Danio rerio: one gene and its partner. The protein of the gene in region 1 interacts with the protein of each later gene in a pairwise test. Links are inferred from orthologs where the notes say so. Each region holds a gene or a part of one and is shown on either strand. Other genes may lie near its edges. The genes, in order: numbl and spsb3a.

The links.
Region 2: the proteins of numbl (region 1) and spsb3a interact in binary tests that used the Homo sapiens proteins (3 or more experiments, as listed by UniProt). The two-hybrid records come from large-scale screens. The link is inferred for Danio rerio from reciprocal best matches to the Homo sapiens genes NUMBL and SPSB3.

The regions. Positions count from the first base shown.
Region 1 is NC_133190.1:16,579,530-16,584,061, forward strand, and holds the start of numbl (numb-like protein), read right to left. Parts: upstream 2,988-4,532; 5' UTR 2,791-2,987; intron 1-2,790. UniProt on the Homo sapiens protein: Plays a role in the process of neurogenesis. Required throughout embryonic neurogenesis to maintain neural progenitor cells, also called radial glial cells (RGCs), by allowing their daughter cells to choose progenitor over neuronal cell fate.
Region 2 is NC_133178.1:14,705,056-14,708,884, reverse strand, and holds part of spsb3a (SPRY domain-containing SOCS box protein 3a), read left to right. Parts: intron 1-1,540; 5' UTR 1,541-1,561; coding exon 1,562-1,687; intron 1,688-3,708; coding exon 3,709-3,829.

The DNA of each region.
Region 1 (4,532 bases):
CGTCCATCTGGATAACAATGAGACGCAGACTTATGCCACAGACAAGCAGAACAGACGGTTCTCAGACGGTGTGTGACAGGTGATTAAATAGTGCAACCCGGAAAAGTTGCTTGAAGAGGCGCTTGCAGTTTTTTGGGGGGTGGTGAATTACACTGTAAATAAATACTGAGTCCCACACAATTGCTTCATGTTGTCCCAACACAAATTGATGAAGTTAACATAACAAATTTAAGTGGATTGAACAATCCCTCTCTCTCTCTCTCATTGAGAGATCTGCTGTCAATTAGGGTTGGGCGATGTCGACCAATTTGGCATCGTACAATGTCTAATATGAAACATCACGATGGACGATGGCATCCTCGTCATTGGTGGCGGTGAATTAATTATGAATAATTAATTAATTCATAACAAATTAATTATTTGTAGCCTACCGTTTTAACTAGCTGACCCGCATGGTCTTTATTTTACCCATAACCAAATCATAAATTAATAAAGATAAGTTACAAACATAATTACCACCTGTCAATCACTTTATCCTCAGAACTCGTGAATAGGTGTGAATAGGCCGAATGATGTGTTGTTATAATGGCATCAACAAACTTGGTTGGTAAAAAAGGTGCACAACCAACAGGAAACAACCAACAGTATCTGAAGTTTTCACTAAAATTAATAAGTACAAGCGTGACAGGTGTCTGTTGGCCATCGGCGATGAACAATGACATTGTCTATCAGCCCAACCCTACTGTCAATAGTTTAAAATAGCATTTTAGAATGAAAACAATTCACGTCCACACTGGCGTATTACCTACCATGTCTGAAAAGCCCTCCTTCCACAATACCGCTGAAAACACACATCACGTGACCACAAACTGTAATGCGCTGCAGTGAAGGCTATGCACGCATCTGACTCTGAGCTCCAGCAATCACGCTAGAGAGCAGTTCATGTTGAACAGTTTATCAAGGATGTACCAGCTAACGTGTCACAGCGTCAGTAGACTGCTTCAATCTTTCACTTTCACGCTGGTACTTAGTAATTTTAGCAAAAACCTCAGATTCTGTTGGTTAGTTCCTGTTGGTTGTTGACCTTTTTTAACCAACCAAGTTGGCCAAGCAGCAGCGACCCGCTCGTGAAAAATACACACTTAGTCCCTGTTTACACTAATACGTCTTAGTTTCAAAATGCCATTTTAAAATAAAAAACAATCCACGTCCACACTTGCGTTTCATTGAACATTTCTGAACAGCCTTCCGTCAACACTATACCACTGAAAACGCACATCACGTGACCACACACACACATGCGCTGCAGCATACGCACACGTTACAACTCCAGGCACTCAGCAGCTGGTGCAAGTATTTCTTTTTCTACTGTAGATATCACCAACCAGCAATCTTTAAAAATATCTTCTTTGAGTTCAACGGGAGACAGAAACTCAAAAAGGAAACTCTCATTTCAAGTGAATAATTTGCTAATGTCGTATAGTGTAATCAGGCAAAACATACAAGACTTGAAAATTGTTTCTACTTCGAAATTTCATGTTTTATTTGATGTTATTAGCCATTTTTTGTGACAGCTTACTAGCAATTTCCGTATTTGAAAGAGTAATCTATTCGCCAAAAATCTTTTTCTTTGAACATCTTTCGAAAAAGTAATTAGCATAAAACTTAAACTGAATTTCTGAATGTATCCACATTTGATTTCAAATACTTTCAGATTTAAAATGGTCAAAATTAACATTCTAATCATAAGTTTATTTCATCACCATAACAATACATTTAGATATGACTCCATCAACTAAGTTGAGTAGCCTACATAAAAGATGCTAAGACTTTACAATAAGGTTGCATTAGTTTAATGTAAGTTCATGTGTTTACTAACATGAACAAACAATAAACAGCACGTCTATAACAGTATATATTCATCTTTGTTAGAGTTAGTTAATGAAAATAAAGTCATTCATTGTTAGTTCTCGTTAGCTCGCACATTATTAACTATAATGAATAGAATTTTGTATTGTAATAATGCATAATAAATGTAGAATTAATTAATCACGTGCATGTTTTGTTCGTTCTTAGTTCACGTAAGTAACGTTAAATTGTAAAGTGTGACCAAAGAAACTCTTAAAATATTTCAATATTGGGTCTTCTTTCAGTTCTTTAAACAATCAATATTTTACTGTAAATAACAGTCTAAAACTCTAAAACTCATTTTTCCACTACAACAACCGTTCGTGGAATGGAAATGGACATTATTCGCCGGTTGTAACATTTTTATTGTCAATAGAGCCCACATGTAAAGCCTCTAAACACTGCAGTCTTGCTCATACTATTTCAGTGACAAACTCCTCAGTGAAAGGCCCAACCATTATGGATCAATAACAGTCATCTAATTATTAATGAGGCTCCCGTATGTAAAGCGTCGCTAATAAACACATAATCACTCTCTAAAACACTACGAGTCTCTTACATAATTTTACACTATCGAGCTATTTTGATGTACATAAGGTTCTGTTTAATGTGTTCAGAAACATCTGGCTGTAGTCGCACTGACATTCTTGTTTGTTCAGCAAGTCTTCGCGGACCCTAGTGGTTAATTAATGGTTAATTACATTTTTCATCCTAAACCCTAACAGTAATAACAGCATTATTTGTTATTGTTGAACACACATCTGCACACTTCAGCATAGATATATGAAATCAGAATCATGCCATCTCGAGCCACATGAGCCGCATGTTGTGATATCCCGAAACTATAAATAATGCATGTAAAATGAGAGCACAGACACTTACCGAATAGAAGAATACTACAATGAGTGTCCGTGCCGCCTTTTGTGTAATCCACAGAAATATGAGGGGGGAAATAACTTCAGATGAATCTACATGAGAATCCCTCGCGAAACTGACGCTCGGTTGGAGGCACGTGGACTAAGGCGTTTCGGACGGTCGTAAATTTAGTAAAACGGCCGTAAGAAATGGACGGATTTTTTGGGGATAATCTCTGCGTTTGTTATTCAGTGAGCAGCAGCCACTGGCGCATAGACTGCGCTCCTCCCGCGGCTCCACCCGCGTGCCCCGCCCTCTCGGCCCGCTCATTGGCGCAGACGGGCGTTTATGCAAATTATCCTCTTCCCGCTGATGTTCAAGAGTCTGAATGGGATGCAATGGATCAGGCGGTAGGAGTAAAACACCGTCATCTAGAGGCCAAACGGTTGAGCGCTTTTCTCAACGTTTACAGTGGGGTTTTTTTCTTCAATTGCTGCTTTCAGGATTCTTTTTAATAATAAACAGCCTATTCCTATTCAAAATTTACAGATGTTGGTTAAAAAAAGGTTGCATTTAAATACAAATACAGTGCATAACATAATATCGTATGAAGGGTCAAAAACCACATAACATAAAAACAATTATTAAATACTGTTTTTTATTTTTTATTTTAAATATTTCTGAAAATACCCAGAATATCTGTGTATTACCACAGATTTATCACCTTAATCTTGCAATCTTTTACTTACATTAATATATTAGTATTCAATTATTATTATTTTCTATTTATTTACTAATTTACTTATATCTTGTTCAATTTTATCTTAAGTTTTTTTTCTGTTCATTCAATCATTTTCTTGTCGGCTTAGTCTCTTTATTAATCCGGGGTCGCCACAGCAGAATAAACTGCCAACTTACTGAAACACCAACTGAGCCAATTTTCGAACCAGCGACCTTCTTTCTGTGAGACGACAGCACTACCTACTGCGCCACTGCCTCGCCCTCTTTTTTCTAATCTGTCATTTTAATATGGGAAATCAACTTGCGTGTTTGTTTTAATCTGGTATTTAATCAAATGTGTGATTATCTATATGAATCATAACTAGTAAGTAGAGTAAATGAGTCAAACTTTTTCAATTTCATTAATCCAAACATATTTAATTGTGATCAAATATTTGATCAAACAAATCTCTTAAACAAGTGTTTTATTTATGCCTAGCCTGTTTGCAAAGTCCAGCTTTAAAGTATGGATGATCATGATTTTCATATTCAAATATCGCTACTTACTTCGATTTTAGTTGGAGTATGACAGTCACTTTTATTGCTAAATCAGTGAAAGATAAATTGCAATTATGGTACAATTCAATTTGTTACATTTAATTCCACTGTAAGAAGCACATCTTTCATCACAGACTTCTTCAAGCCACTCAATTGGAGCTAGAGTCTTCAATTAGTTGCAATGTCCAGATTTTAAAAGCTTTTTTGCAATGATACTAACAGCCTACAGTATAAACAAATATGCTCAGCGAGATGTTCAATTAGAAGTGAATGAGAATGTGGAAAGAAGAGAAACTATCGAAGCACATAGATACAGCAGCGCAGTACTGAACAACTCAACTCCTCACTTGTACACTACCAGTCAAAAGTTTGGAAACAGCAAGATTTATTCAATGTTTTAACAGATACCATTTCTGCTTACTGCGACTGCATTTATTTGAAGAAAAATACAATAAAATTTTCATCAAATAACTATTCAATTTTGAGGTATT
Region 2 (3,829 bases), on another chromosome or scaffold:
TTAGACCGCACATTGGAATGTTATAACAGAACCCTAAAATGCACTTAGTCTGATTAAACAGCTCTGCTTCTTCTCTACTTGATCATAAAGATTAGAACAGGAAGCAGTGGACTGTGGCATAATAAAAGCTCTGCTGTTTTTTAGGCTGCGTAACACAATTTCTTCAGCGCTCTTGTTTCACTTTGACAGCTTTCAGCTAGGGGTGTCAAAATGAATTGTTTCTTTGATGCACCGCGACGCAGATGTGGACAATTCGGTATCTGTTCAGTAATAATCATAACCGGTTTTTATGTACTGATGTCATTTATCACATATGCGTTATACAGCGGTAGCTTACTATGGCGAGTGAGGAGGCCGCGAGTAATTAAAACACTACAACTACTTAGGAAGCAGATAACTGTGCACAATTCACTACTTGTGAGTTTGCTGGACAATCTTTCACTGACAGGGAAGTACATCAAAACTTTACTTTACTTCATTGTCCACTAGTGGAAATTCATCTTTGGCCTTACCACACAAACAGATCAACATTCACATTACACACATCACAGAAAGGAAAGCTAGGAAAAAAATGAACGGTGAAACTCTCTCTCATTCTCTGTGGCCCCTTTGACCTGTTAGCTTCGTGAGGTAACGTTTTATCTCCTCTCTCGGTTGTTACAACAATAGTGTTATCTGTAGATCCAGACATGAGGGTGTCTTTAGAGCGAGTTTTCTTCACCGCGTTAACGTCTATGATGGATCCGCTAATCGCTGTAGCTGTTTAACATCATCGTTTGCTGAACAGCACCAGAGCTGTGCTGACCATTAGAGCCAATCCCAGCCATTTCTGTTGAGTGCGTGATCAATCGCAGGCATTTAAGATCTCCCTCAACACCACTCAAATCGAAAGCGGGATAACATTTAGTTTTTTGTTTGCTGTAAATGCTCATGTTGTTCTGTGCTTGTACTTGAGTTTTGTTTGATACATTCAGAAAGAGTGTTTTATTTGAGCAGGTTCAATAAAACTGCAGTTCATATATTTGAATGCTTGTATTAGAGGACAAAATTGTATTACAAGTAATATCTAAATGTAAATATTTTTAAATTGTAAATTCTAATACAAGAATTATTGTGTTTTTAAAGTAAAATATCAAATTGTTTATGGAAACCATCGTCAAAGCACCATGATGAACTCGAGATATCGAATTAAACCAAATCAATAGCCTGATAATCATAACTGAACCGAACTGTGAGACCAGTGTATGTTCACACCCGTACTTTCAGCCTTACTCTACTTCATACTACCATGATAATTAGTGTTGAATACTTCTACTCCTCCATAAGCATGATGTCTGCAGGAGTCCTGTAGGATTCAACACTCAATCATGGCATCATTAAATTTACCTTGTTTGTTTTGATTATGCACCTTCTAGTGGAAAAAAGTCACATACTGTGTCTTTTAATGCTTTCACGTATATTTTTACTTTGATAATGCGTTTCATGTAGTGTGACTTATTCTTTTGCTATAGAACGAAGAGCTGTTGTGTCTGGTTGACAGGTGCGGAGGCTCCAGGTTGGCATGTCAAGGCGGAGCAGAAACAGCAGGGCGTGGAGGTACGTGTGGAGTGGAATAAGACGGGATGCAGATGCAAGAGCGCTGGTGCTTGCCTCCGAGAGTGACGAGTGGAGCTACGATCGACAGCAGGTGGGTGAAGATGATGTGCAGATGCCATCAAATAGAGCTGAAAATTTAATTGCACTTGCTATAACATTGCTGTTTTCAGTCACGTGGTGATTGACGAGCGAAATTCAGATGGAGGGCAGGAAGTTAAAAACTGAAAGGGAGACCTAGAGGAAAGCATTTAAACCATATTACAAAGGAGATGTAAATAGAAAATAAGCACATATGTTGGGCATGATCCGAATTTCATGAAGAGGCAGAGTTTTCTACTGAACTAAAATATATTTATCTGTCATTAGCCCCTTTCACACATACAGACCTTTCCGGAAAATTGCCGGCAATTTTCCGGAAAGGTTGTATGTGTGAACAGGTCCTTTTTGAAAATACCGGTAAATTCGTTCTGGCTATTTTCCGGAAAGAGAAGTTGTAACATTACCGGTAATTTGCCGTAATTTTATCCCCCTACTTGGATGGATCTTACTTATTATTGGAAAATGATTAAACTGGGTATTGATTCAGAATTACAAACTTTCTTTTTGATACTTGATTTGATTTAGTGAACTTCGATTGAACACAAATGATGTGTGAATGCAGAAGGAAGATTCCCATAATAAGCGCGTGCACGTCTAGAACGTGCTGACGTGAGACGTCTGCTTTAGCCAATCACAACAGTCAGACGCATTTACGTCCGCGCGGTTTGTGAGGATAAAAGCCTTTGAATATTTTTCCAGACACATTTAACTGCTAGAAGTTAGTCAGATCACGTTTATATGTTCTTCTTAATGACAACTGTGTAAATAATCATCGATGAGATGCTTATGATAAGCCGTTGTTTGTTTACCTTCAAGCTTTGCGTGTGCCTGTGAAACACGCACATATTATAAACATCTCGACATGCGAAAGTGATCCTGCGAAAGTTGTTCACAATACTGATCATCCACAGAGTTTGTAATTTAGTCAAATGTTTACAAATACAAGCGCAGCCGTTTAAAGCTCATTTGTGGTGAATGATGTCAGAATTTACCGGTATTTTGGAATGGATGTGTGAATGCTCTTTTCCGAAAAATTTCCATAACGTTCTCGCCTGTGTGAACAGCGCTTTTTTCAATATACCGGTAAAGTCTTTCCGGAAATTTTCCAGATATTTACCGGTATCACTGTGTGAAAGGGGCTATTGAGGCAGTAGATACTGTATAATTATGTTACATGAAAAATACCATAGTAAATGCCATAGTGTTTGGAAGCATACTATAGATAATTACTTGAATTAAACTGTTGTAGTAATTATATTGTTGCTGTGGTACGACACAACTGTAGTAATAAACTCAGTGTTTCCTCTAGGATTTTTCCAGCTGTGGTGGCAGGCCTTGATTTAGCTGACGAAATGGATAAACTGTAACTAATAAAATTAAACTAATATAAAGGTAGAGTAATTATGTTTGTTTTTATTTTGTGTAGCCAGGTATTATCTATCATTGAAAGATGATAATTAATTACATGCGCTAATATTTTGTGTCAGTTCAAATGTCTTGTAAATACCCCCAGTAACGCTCCAGGGTTTTTCCAGTAAGTGCCCTATGACCAGGGCCAGTCGGGATCTGCGGACGTTTTTTGCTATTTCTGCGGAGAATTTTGGTAAAAATCTGCGAATTTCTGCGGAATTATTTTTAACCTTAATATATTAAATAAAAAGTAATAAATTACTGAATAAATTCAGATTTACACCTTTACTTAAGCAAATAAGAATTAATAATGGGCTAGAAATCTGCGGAATTCTGCAGAAAATCTCCGGAATTTTGCGCACGCAGATTCCGTGTGGGCCTACCTTTGACAAAGGCAAAACATTATTCTATAGTATATCTTTTAAACCTTCAATTAAATTAATTAATTGATTAATGAAGTAATTTAAAAATGATATGTGTATGTGTGTTAATAATACAATGCAGTATAAAAAATAATGATGCATATTTATTACATTAAATTTTAGTTAATTTTAGCTCACAGTGCATTAAATAATATTAACAAGCACACCTTTTGTCCTGCAGTACAGTGACTCTGATTCTGAAGCCGAGTATCCTGCCATTGTTCCGGCGGTCCCCAGTGCGGTGCCGGTGACTGGAGAGTCCTACTGCAGCTGTGATTCACAGATGGAGCTCAGCTGTAACC